3 linked regions of the Coturnix japonica genome follow. The protein of the gene in region 1 purifies or fractionates together with the protein of each later gene. This does not show direct contact. Links are inferred from orthologs where the notes say so. Each region holds a gene or a part of one and is shown in the gene's direction. Other genes may lie near its edges. The genes, in order: HSPA12A, AKAP12 and EPB41L3.

Region 1 (3,648 bases):
CAGCTGTAGAAACTCTAGGCAGGCTGTGCACTCTGAAAGAGCTCACAGTAGTCCTGCAGTGATTTCCTTTTGCACAAGGGAACCTTGGTTCAATAATAGTAATAAGTTCTGAGTATCTTCTTACTGGGATAAAACCTTTCAATTGTTGCGTTGCTTTTTTTTGGTTGTTGTTTTGTTTTTATCATTAAAAATGTTGATTTGAAAAGAAAACATAATAGTGCAGGAGCTGGAGCTCAGTGTTTCGCTCAGTCTGCATTTTTAACTTGCCAAGAATTAAATTTGAGGCTGGATTCTGGTCTTGCCCCCCCACACTTCTGGTGCTGGGACAATTCCGTGTTCTGTATTCTCCAAGTTCTTTTTCGTGTTGATGAGTGAGCAGTGTGAAACACAACTGGTTGGGCACTTCCCAATGATTGGAGTCCCAGTCTGATATTGTTTTCAGTGACTGATTGTAGGGAAGTCGGATGAGCTGGATTTGTTTTGCGACAGGAAGATTATTAAAAGCTGATTTACCGTTTGGTGAGTTGAATCTCATTGTCACTCTCTACAATGATGACTTGCTAGTTAAAATGGTGAAAACAGTATAATTTCACTGTTGCAATGATCTTGGTGTGGCTAAGAGGTTCAGTATATTAGCCTATATTAAGCTACTATTTTGGATCTTGGTAGGGAAATGGGAAAATACATCGTATTTTCCATTTCCTGTATGAAATGTTTCAATACTCAATTCTTGTAATATTATCGTTGGGTCACGAGATTGTATTGGGTATTCTCTTGTGAAATACATGTCTCCAGTAAATAGTTTTTAGATTTAAGGTCTCATGTAAACAACCAAATGTGAATTTTGTTACATTAGTTTCAGATGTGCTACTATGTACTGCCAACACATAGTAGTTTCTGGGCCAAATCAGAATCCTAAACAGTGCTTACATGAAAACAGCCCTGTTGATGTAAAGCTGACCCACTTTTCTGAATAGGATTAATTTATTCTGCCTTCATGGCCTTAGAGGAACCACCTTATCATTACTACTCAAAAAAATTAACTTTTCTAAGACTGATAGATTTTTGCATTTAACATTCAGTCACAGACTTGTACCCATGCATTTACTGCCTGGGGAACTGTTTAGTGAATATGAATCCCCCATAAGTTGCTGTGCTGCCTGTTCTGGGCTGCATCTTTACTTGATGTTAATAAAACATCCCTGTGATTTGTGAGTTCATGCTGTTGCTTAGGACTGTAATCTGTCCATTCCTACTGCCCTGGGCAGTATAAAGGTACTTCTTTTCTACCACAGATTTTTAAACTGCAGTATGGCTGAGCAAACACAACACCTTGGCACAGCACGCTCAGAAACATATTTTACATTCTAAAGGCCTGTTGTTCACTTTTATGAAGCTTTCCCTGTTTGGATGGAGGTTTAGATAGGACATATGGTAATGACATTTTACTTGGAACCTTTCCCAAAATATGTCAGTATATCACCTAATCTATAAATGCAATACAGACTTTTCTCTTTTTAATGGGGAAGGGAAGAACAAGAAAATAACTAGACCACTCCTCAGTGCTCGTGTAAAGCAAAATTTTCAGGGAACATTCAGTTGATGTCTTTATTTTTTTTAAGACTTTAGCTGTAACTTTGCCTTGTTAACCGAGTTGTAAAAGTTTAATTTACATGTGAGTGCTGTATAAAGGAGTCATTGAAAAATCTGGATTGTAAAACTTAATGTTCATCAATACTTCTAATATTTTTCTGTGAATTAATCTAGATGTAAGCATGAATTCTTCAGACTAGCTGTGAATCCCCTCACTATGACTAAGAGCATATGTAAACATTCTCTAATGTTCAGCAGTGCACGTGCTCCTTTAGGAAAAAGTAACTTTTCTATTTCATGTTAAGTAGTAAACTTTTCTATGGGCTTCCTTCAGAAGGTGTCAGCTCTAATCCTAGCTGTTGGCACAGTGAAGCATTCTTGAAAGGTTGGTAATAATTTAAATATTTGGATTTGTAACGTAGGTGTAGCAGGAAAAAGATTGAAAAGAGAGTTTCTGTTACTGGAAACTTCAGAAAATATTTTCTTACCAAGTTGATGCCCATCAGTTTACATTCACCTCTATTTCTCTTTATTTAGGAGCTCAGTGACCAAGCAGGTTCGGACTTTGAAAATACTGAAGTAAGATGGGTTATTACAGTGCCTGCTATTTGGAAGCAGCCTGCAAAGCAGTTTATGAGACAAGCTGCCTACAAGGTAAGGTTACAGGGTGAACTTAAAAATGCCCTTTAAAGCCTCACTTGGTAGGCTATATGTTAAACTATATTTGGGACAAATAGCACTAGTGTAAACGACATTAAATAATAAAGAGTTGGGCTAGAAACATAGAATTTAACTCGACAAATCAGTGGCTTCACATCATGTGTATTCACATTTTAAATGCCTTTTAATGTATTTGCTTTTGTGTACTGGTGTCCCTCACTGCAGGCTAATATTTTAGTCACCTTTTACATGATACTCCTGCTGAATTTATTGTACATGGAAGGGATGCAGTTTTGAGACTGAAGAGAAAGCTGATTTAAAACAGCGGATGCGATTTTGTTTTGTTAATTTCTTAGGTCATCACAGGCTTTTTTCAAATAAGACAAAAAAAGAAGGAGTAGGGAAAGCATAGACCTTCCTCAGTAGGGACTTTTTTTTCCTGTTACCATTTTCCCACCGTAGGAATGAAGAGACTGAGTCCAGATAGTCTGGACATAAAATTAAATTAAAACGTTACTATCACCAGTAGGAGTTTGTCAGCATTTAACTCTTTCCCCTCCCTTCAAAGCCCCCGCAGTCTTGCACATTCCATATTGCATATGCTTTATTTCAAATTCAGTTTGTGTCTTTGATAGACTAGATGTGTGCATTCTTCTTTTCATCAAGATACTCACGTTGCATTTTATGTTATTTATTTTATGCCGCAGACTTGCATAACCCATTGGCAGCAGATACATCATGCGCGGTTTGTGAAATACATAGTAGTTGGTGTGTAATTTGCAGAGTGCTCCTGGAAAGCACCCAGGTTTTCTTTAACTCTGTTTCTAACTACCTCTAATGTTGAGCAACAATTTTTCTTAACAGTCTTTATTGTGGGATTGCTAATGCTAGTGCCAGAAGCAAAACATTCTTAAAGTTCTGATGGAAGGACACGGTTGTAGGTAAATCCGAAACACTAGAGACCCATTCATTATCTCTGTATATTGTTGTCTGCCTGCTGTCTGTGTGCATGTGTGCTCGTGTAACGGGAGCTGTGTAAGGAGCAGGGCAGAGTGAGGTAGATCTCTTGGCATTTCTCATTTGTGGCACAATGGAATGTTGTTGATTAGTGTCTGTGTCTGTGGTTTTGTCTGTGATTGTGTTCTTCTATTGGCAAGCTTGATAAACAGCAAGGACTGACAAGGCTTTTAGCTCAGGGTGTGTGATCAACTGCAGGGGAAAAAAAAAAGCATGTAGGGAAGTAATTGTATGTTTGCTTGACACAGTTGATATTTAAAGGAATGAGGCCGAAGAAAGAAATGCAGAAAACTGAAAGTTCTACTTTCTCATTCAGTCTTCAGATTCCTATTGCAGGATCCAACAAGTGCTTCAAACCAGGGCGTACTGACAGAGCAG
Region 2 (4,233 bases), on another chromosome or scaffold:
ACAAAGATCTTGTAGGCCCAGTCTGGAATACATCTGCATCTACAGCACTTCCAAGCACCAATGCACTACATGAGCACCAGAAGTGAGAAGGGCTTGGTGTCTCTGGGCTCAGAAGCCAGAAATGTTGGGAATTACTCAGATGGATTCTACCCTTGGCGTGCAGCTGCTCCCAGGGGCCGGCCATGGCTTTGAGATTCACTTCAACTTCCCAGAACCAAGCAACCACACAATCAATTTTCACTCCCTTTTCCTGCTCTCCTTTAAAAGAAATGCACTAGTATTAATTTTCTGAAGATGAGGAAAAAATAAACAAATGAAAGATTACAAAAACTGTTAGAGAGACAGGTAGCCTTAGGACAACACTTTCTTGGTACTATGCATATATATGAGGGTGAGCAAGACTAGGCTGAAGGGAGTGATTTGGTTCTTCCTGTGCCATCCCCAGCAGCAGTTTGGTTCTTGCTGAGGCTCCACAAGGTTCTTGTACTGCTGCAGTGGCTGTGTCATGCAATGACTTGGTGTGGCCTGATTGCTTTACGTAAAAAGCTGACCACGTGCAGAGAGCAGGCAATTAGCAGAGAGGATTGTTAAGAGAATATAAAGATATAATATAGATATATATACACCTGAATGACCCAGTGATTCAATGGATGAGGATTGCTTCACATTTTCTAAAGGAAAATGTCCCCAATCTCGGATCTGAACTATGAACTCAGTGGAGGATGGGGGGATTCACAGGGAGGGGCTCCCTCCGCAACACCGTGGTTGGTTTATCGCAGTGTACGTGTCATTTCCCTGGGGGTCCTTTTGGATGGGCGTGCTGCTCTGTGCATGCTGGTCCCATCACTGTGGCACAGGGAAGTGGGGCTCAGCGTGTGTGTGTGTGTCTTTGGGTCGGGAGGGAAGCTATCACGCTGCCTGCTTTGCTCGCCATGCAGTCTAGCAGGAATTAATCAATGAGAACCTGTGCCGCATGGAAAAAGAAAAAAAAAAAAAAGAAAAAAAAATAGAAAGCCAACAGCGTGGTACCCCGCTAAGGCATAGGTCCCTGCTTGCTCCGCATCAGCCGCAGCCCGGACATGCCCCTGGCAGCCCGTACGGCTGAGGTCGTCAACCCGCGGGCGCTGGTGGCGAAGGGGCCCCGAGCCCACCGCGGGGCAGCCCCAGCCCCGAGCACCCCGAGGGCATTGGCGGGCGCCGACTCGGTCTCGGTGGGCGGAGGGGGAGGTAAAAGAGCTGAGTCAGCGCCGCGAGGCGGCCACGGGCTGGGTCTGGGGTCCGGGCAGCGCTCCCGCCCCGGCGGTGCCCAGGAGAGAAGAGAGAGGCCCCGGGCGGCGGGCAGGGCGCTGCCCCCCTCCCCCTCCTCCTCCTCCTCCGCCGCTCCTTATCAGCCCGGCTCGATGCTGCAAGGCGTGTCTGGGGCTCTGCTCATGTGATGGAGCAAGCGGGAGACGGGCGGGGGGACCAGGGGCGGAGGTGATTTTCCTCCCTCTCGCTTTTTTTTTTTTTTTTCTTTCCCTTTTTCCCTTTCCCTCCCTCCTCTCGCTCCCTAAAGGAGTTCGCGGAGAGCCGCGCTCCCTCATTCCCAGCCGCGCCGCCACCCCCCACCCCTTTTCCCCCGAGCCCCTGCCGTTCCTCTCCGCTCAGCTCTGCGGGGCAGCGCCATGGGCGCCGGCAGCTCCGCCGAGCCGTCCGCCCCGCCGCAGGAGGACGGGGCCGCCGCCGCCCCCTCGGAGCCCGCCAAGGTAAGGCCGGGGCGGTGCGGTGCCGGGGGAGGCGGGCGGCGGCTCCGCAGCGCGGGGAAAGTTTCCTGCGCGCCGGCGGGCACCTGCCGGGGTCGGCGGGATCCTGCGGGCCGGGCGGGCTGCGGTGGGGCCGGGACTGCGCCACGGACAGCGCCGCAGTCATAAAACTCGCGGCGGCGGCGGCGGGGGGCGAGAGCGGCGGGGCCGGGTGGGGGGCGGTGGCGGCGGCGCTTTTGTGTGCGGCTGCGGGGGGAGAGGGCCGCACCCAGCCGGGGCAGTGCTGTGCTGGGAGCCCTCCTGACTGCGGTCCTACGGCCGCTGCTGTGGTACCCAGGGCTCCCCCAGCCTTTTTTCTTACTATTCCATCTCTTTTTTTCTTTCTTTCTTTTTTTCTTTCTTTCTTTTTTTTTTTTTTTCTTCCCATATCTCTCGAGGATGCGTCTGTGAGGCGCGTCGGGGGGGCTGCAGCAGGGACCCTCCCCGCACCACCAAGTTTCCCCTGCTGGGCTCCAGCTTAAGCGTCCCTCCTCTCGCTCCCAGTCCCGCATCGGGCCCGCCGCATCCCCCCCCACCCGAGCGGAGCTGGGCGTGGAGGGGGGCGCGGGGTCGCGGTGCGGGCGGTGGCTGCGGCGCTCCCCGCGGTGGCACAGCGTCGGGGCGAGCGGGGCGGCGGCGGCCCGCAACCAACGGGGAGGAGGGATCGGGGTCCGAGCCTGTGTTATTTTAAATAAAGACGTTGAAGAATTGAAAGAAATTCTTTTAAAACGTCTGGTGTTTAAAAATAGATTATGAATGAACCCATTTATCCCTCTGGAATAGGCGTGTTGAGGGGATTCTGGGACTGAAAGGGAGGTTATGTGCATCTACGTGTTTACATAGCATCGTGTTGGGGTTAGACGTTAGTTGTTAGGGGAGACATAATGCGACGTTATGCCCGGAGTCCGCTGCGCAGCCTGATCTGAGCTTGGGTCCTCGGAGCACTCCAAGTTTCTGTGAGCGGGCGTGTGGGTGTGTTGGAGCTTGAGAACGGGTTATGACTTTGTTTCTTTGACCTTGTGGTTCAGATTTAACTTTCAAGTTGAATTTCCCATAGTTCCTGGCTTCCACTAGACCTCCTTGTGCGTGTTTTGACAGATTTGAAAACCGCATTGAGAATGAACTTTAAATTAACCAAGATTTATTTTATTCTCTTTTTAACCAAATAAGCAGTAGGGATCGGTGTTGGTTAACAAAATATTTAGCAGTTGTGTTGAGCCGCTTTAGAATTCAAATGCTGAAATGTAGACAGCGGTGCATTTGGAGGGTGAGCCTTTGGGTGCAGTGATTGTTTTAAAACAAAGATAACCTGACTTTGAGGAGGGCCGTAATGTTCATAGTTGCATTTACCCAGTCACGGGGACCAAGGCAAGAAAAGGGGGATGCCATCAATGCTGTTCTCCGAGGCAGGCTATGATTGGTTCTAAATACTGTAGTTTATATCATCTGCTCTTTAGGAAGAGCCTTTTCCAACACTTCAGTTTTATCATTCAAGCTGATTAAAGGTGAGGAAGTTCTCTTTGCGTATCGCTGCTGTAAGAAGTTCTGTGACTACGCTTCTCTTAGAACAGCTGTTTTTGTCTTCTCTTACATTGAATCAAAGTTTTAATGAAGTCCTACTTTTTTGTTACTGTTGTTGTTTCATATCTCCCTTATTCTGTTCTTACCACAGCGAGACTGTTTCATGCAGATTCATGGCACAGTTTTTCATAGCTGTTCCTTACAGCCCTCTGGACGTGAAAATCACCAGATCATGCCGTGCCCCTGGAGAAATCTATCAAAGAGCTAATGTGTTTGCAAAGGGGAAAAAAAGAAGCAGTGGTGTCATTTTAAAGGATGGTCTCCATTCTGGTGCTTTTGACATTAAAGCACTCATCCCAGCTCTTTTGAATGGAATATTTGGAAAACTGGCTTTTACATAATCCAATTTGAGCGAGCCTTGGCAAGTGAATTACAGATACATTGTCTGGGCAACTGTTACAATAGGCAGTGTAAAATTTCATGGCAGTTTTGCTTCCTCATCACTTGAAACACCGCGGAATATTTAATCAAGTTTCTTTCATAATAGTCCTATTTTGCACTAGCTGAAAACCTGTTTGCTTTTTCTCTGAGAAAGGCCCAAATTTACAGTCTTTACGTTGCCTTGTTATCCCCATGTGACTCTTTGGCTGAATACCAGGTCTCGAGGTGTCCTGGTTACTGCAAGGGGGAGCACATGGGCCTGTGTTTCACTTCTGCAGCCCAGGAGATGTCAGATGCCGTGTGAAGCATTTGGGCTACCATGGCAGGAAAGAGATTTTGAGAGCCTTTGGGTGCTGGTTTGTAAGCACTGCAGATTAAATTTGGGCTGAAGGAGTTAGGATCCCAGGTGCTCACCCTAACTTTTCACAGATTGCTGCTTATTTGCCCATAAAGCAGCTTCAGAGTTTCCAACCCAGCATTATAGTGGGAC
Region 3 (3,648 bases), on another chromosome or scaffold:
TCTGTAACTTGTTTTCAACTGTAACATTATGAACCATGGTGATATATGATTTTTAACCTCAGGATGATTCTGATGATAATTTTACTCTGCTTCAAATTACTGCAGAAAAGTGTGGCAAATGCAATTTATTTATTTATTTATTTATTTATTTATTTGTCCACATTATATGGGCCTCTAATGGGAAGAAACCTAGAAGAAATCTAACTCTGCCTGAGGTGATGCTGTTTATTTGTTTGATAACTACTCTAAGAAGTTCAGTGGTAAAATTATTATATACTTTCCAGAGAGACAGGATTGATTTCTTAAAAGACTTCATACTTTAGTACTCCTGAAACACAGATAAACCTTCAGATATTCTAATTTAGCTTTTATATCTCAAATATAGGGCACTGAGGATTGGGTTATTATAGACAAAGTACCTTCTGAGGTAGCTGATGGTGAATCGAAAAAAAATGTGACATACAAAGTGGTGACTGTGAGCAGTAAAGCTGGCATTCCGCCCGAGGTACTAAAATCCAGCACAGTTCTGAGCTTTGAGGACTTGGAAAGTGAAATACAATCCAAAGATGAGAATAAGCAGAAAACATTCACCTTAGGAAAGTCCTATGATGCTGTGTCTGGGAAAATTGTTACCATGACAAGTAAAACAAAAGAGGGAGAGAAAACAGTACAGCCTTCTGTAGAAGCTTTGCAAAAAAAGGAGAAGGAAGCACAAGAATCTTTGAAAATCATTCCAGTATTGGCCAAGTATGGGATCGTAGAGCCTGTCGCTGAGGAGAAGGCCGATGTGCAGAGCACAAAAAGAAAGCTGTCTGACTCCCTGACACCTATAAAGGAAGCGGAATCTCAGTTGCAAAGTCCCGAAGAGGAGAGCTTGAAAAAGACACTAAGGATGGACCAAGATTTGCAGTTACTGGGAAGCTTGCAGCTTGGCAAAGCAGAAAAACACCTTGATGGTGAAGCTGCAAAAGCAGGGGCATTTACCTGGAAAGATAAAAGTGTGTCTGAGTGGAGATACTCCAGAGAACAACCATTTACCATTGCTACTGCTCACTATGTTGTTACTGAGTCGTCTGCATCAAAAGTAGTGGTAACAAGAGGCTTTGACTTCATGCCACAGTTTAAAGATTAAAGCATGACTTCTTTTAGGCAATGCCCTCACACTACCCTGCCTTTCAGTTCTCCTGCTGCCTGGCTTTATGTTGACAGCAGCCAACCCAGCTTATTTTTTTCTCATAATTTGAAGCCATACTACAGTGTAAAGCAGGCATTATATAAGGCTTTCAACTTTTCTGGTTCATTTAAAGATCCATGTTACTGACGTGTGGTGTTGCCGCTGTTGCTTGTTAACCAAAGGGTAAAAAGGTTTGCCTGAACGAGCAAAACGCCGGTGCTAACAACTATGCTTTGTAACTATTGCTTAATACAGCCAGTATGAATTTGCTCTAATTTATTTTCCCATCCTTATCCCATTCCCAGCCTCTCTGTGCCCTGCAACCTTCTCTTCCTTTCCTCTGTCTCTGCCTCCTGTTTTGTCAGTTAATTTCTCTGTGCATGTGGGTTGGCCTTTCATCTGTGTATGACTCTCCATTTCTTTGTCTGTTTAGACTAAACAGTCCACCGGTGAAAAAACCCTGGATGGCTCAGATATCTTCAGTTTAATAGAGTCCGCCAGGAAGCCGACTGAGTTCATAGGAGGGGTTACTACTACTTCCCATAGCTGGGCGCAGGTGGCTGTTTCATTCCATCCCTCGGTGTTATAACTGCACAATAATGACTTTTGATTTGCTTTTGTTTCCTGTTTTTATGCATAATTCAGAGCCTGTATGCCTAACGCATTGCATTGCTGTGCCTTGTTCTTTGTTACAACAGACCACAACAGAAACTTCACCAAAAGGGAAAACAACGACAACAACAAGTGTTGTGGGTTTTTGTTTTTGTTTTTGTTTTTAATCTCATTTCAGTTTATTTTGGTCATTTTACAGGGTGCTGTATTTTGCCTTTATAAGACTCGCACAAAACTACCAAGGATAAAAACACTGGCATTTTTCTTCACTTCTAAAATCATAATCTTGTTTTATTTTTCATTTCTACTTTTCTGATTATGTCCTTAGAGTGAAAATCCATTAGCGCGAGAGAAATAAATTGGCAAAATGTAATACCCCGTTTTTATTTATGTTCACAGTACGTTAAGCTGAGGAGCTGCTCTGTGTAGCATTGTCTGCTTTCAACATGAGGATTTTTTTTTTCTTCTTTCCCAACAGAGAATAGACACGACAACATCTCAGGAGATAACTTCCAGTGAACTGAAGCAAGCAGCTCAGCCACACCAGGACGCAGTGACGAAGGTTGTACAGGAGACTGTGGTTATCGAGGAGAGACGTGGGATGAATGTGCATGCGAGTGGGGATCCCGCTACAGTGGCTGGACTTGCAGATGCCCAGGCTCAGGCAGCATCTGCTAGCGCAAAAGGGAAGGAGGGCACTGCTGTGACTAAGGGGGCTAAAGAGGAAAAAAGGGAGGCTCACAAAGCTGTAACCAAACAGGAAGGCATTGCTGCTGCTACTTCTCATGAGCAAGCGGAGGAGCACAGTACAACAGTCCACGTTTCAGACTCTTTGGAAAGAAAACCTCATTTTGAGGTAACTCGTTAAATCAGTTCTTGTGCTGAGTTGTAAATGTATGTGGTAGTGGACTAAGTCAATTCCTCTCATGGAAAGTAAAGAGTACAAGACTTCTATGATTGCATTTTTACAGCAGGCAGTTTGTTTCTCCTCTTATTTCCTCCTTGCATGGCACCTGCAAAGCTTGTTGCTGGTTTCCATCCTTGGCTAAATGCCATGCATATTTTACCTAAAAGCGCTTTTCATGCTGCAGAGAAATGCCTCATTTGCTGGCTTTTTATGCAGTGGGCAACAAGGACTCAGCTGGCATTCTCTTTGGGAAAATCCATCAGGATTGGCAAAGTTTGCATGTCCTCAAAGAAAGAAATTTTTTTTTTTTTTTCCATTCTTGATACAGTCATACATTATTGTAGTCTGTCTGAAGCAATCTGTGCTTCTTGTTTTAGCCCCATTAGAAAGATTTCAAGAAACATTTTGCAGAAGGGTAGAGATACCTTGTTTTGCTCTTTTTTTCTTTTTTTTTTTTTTTCTGAAAGCTGAATGGAAAAGCAAGCCTGAATAGGATTTGTTCTCTTGTCATTCTGAGAACATGTGTAATGTTTACATGTTTCCTGAAGCTCGTTCTCATGTAATCCAGAGTAGTGTCGAACTGCTAGTGCTATATACATACCATTACAACAAAGAGATTTTTTTTTCTCTTTTGTTTCTTAAAATGCAGAGCACTTTTTTATTAAAAATCCAGAAACTTTACTAAATTTTCCAATCCCTTTTTTTTTGTTTGTTTGTTTTTGTTCACACAGTCACCAGTTGTGAAGACTGAAACAATCAGTTTCAGTAGTGTTTCTACTGGGGGGGAAAACCTTGAAATTTCAACAAAGGAAGTGCCAGTAGTCCATACAGAAACAAAAACCATTACATATGAGTCTTCACAGGTAAGAAATCCTACAGAAGCCAATGTCTAATTAGCATGGCCTTGAAAATCCCATCTCTCTTCATCCATGTTTTGGTGTATTCCTTAGTATGA

Evidence for each region.
Region 2: the proteins of HSPA12A (region 1) and AKAP12 purify together in Homo sapiens (affinity purification with mass spectrometry; 3 studies listed by BioGRID and IntAct, with this or other methods). This does not show direct contact. The link is inferred for Coturnix japonica from reciprocal best matches to the Homo sapiens genes HSPA12A and AKAP12.
Region 3: the proteins of HSPA12A (region 1) and EPB41L3 purify together in Homo sapiens (affinity purification with mass spectrometry; 4 studies listed by BioGRID and IntAct, with this or other methods). This does not show direct contact. The link is inferred for Coturnix japonica from reciprocal best matches to the Homo sapiens genes HSPA12A and EPB41L3.

What each region holds. Positions count from the first base shown.
Region 1 is NC_029521.1:25,730,091-25,733,738, reverse strand, and holds part of HSPA12A (heat shock 70 kDa protein 12A), read left to right. Parts: intron 1-2,130; coding exon 2,131-2,247; intron 2,248-3,648. UniProt on the Homo sapiens protein: Adapter protein for SORL1, but not SORT1. Delays SORL1 internalization and affects SORL1 subcellular localization.
Region 2 is NC_029518.1:43,956,710-43,960,942, forward strand, and holds the start of AKAP12 (A-kinase anchor protein 12), read left to right. Parts: upstream 1-1,414; 5' UTR 1,415-1,664; coding exon 1,665-1,745; intron 1,746-4,233. UniProt on the Homo sapiens protein: Anchoring protein that mediates the subcellular compartmentation of protein kinase A (PKA) and protein kinase C (PKC).
Region 3 is NC_029517.1:90,377,052-90,380,699, forward strand, and holds part of EPB41L3 (band 4.1-like protein 3), read left to right. Parts: intron 1-385; coding exon 386-1,090; intron 1,091-1,607; coding exon 1,608-1,730; intron 1,731-2,264; coding exon 2,265-2,642; intron 2,643-3,424; coding exon 3,425-3,556; intron 3,557-3,648. UniProt on the Homo sapiens protein: Tumor suppressor that inhibits cell proliferation and promotes apoptosis. Modulates the activity of protein arginine N-methyltransferases, including PRMT3 and PRMT5.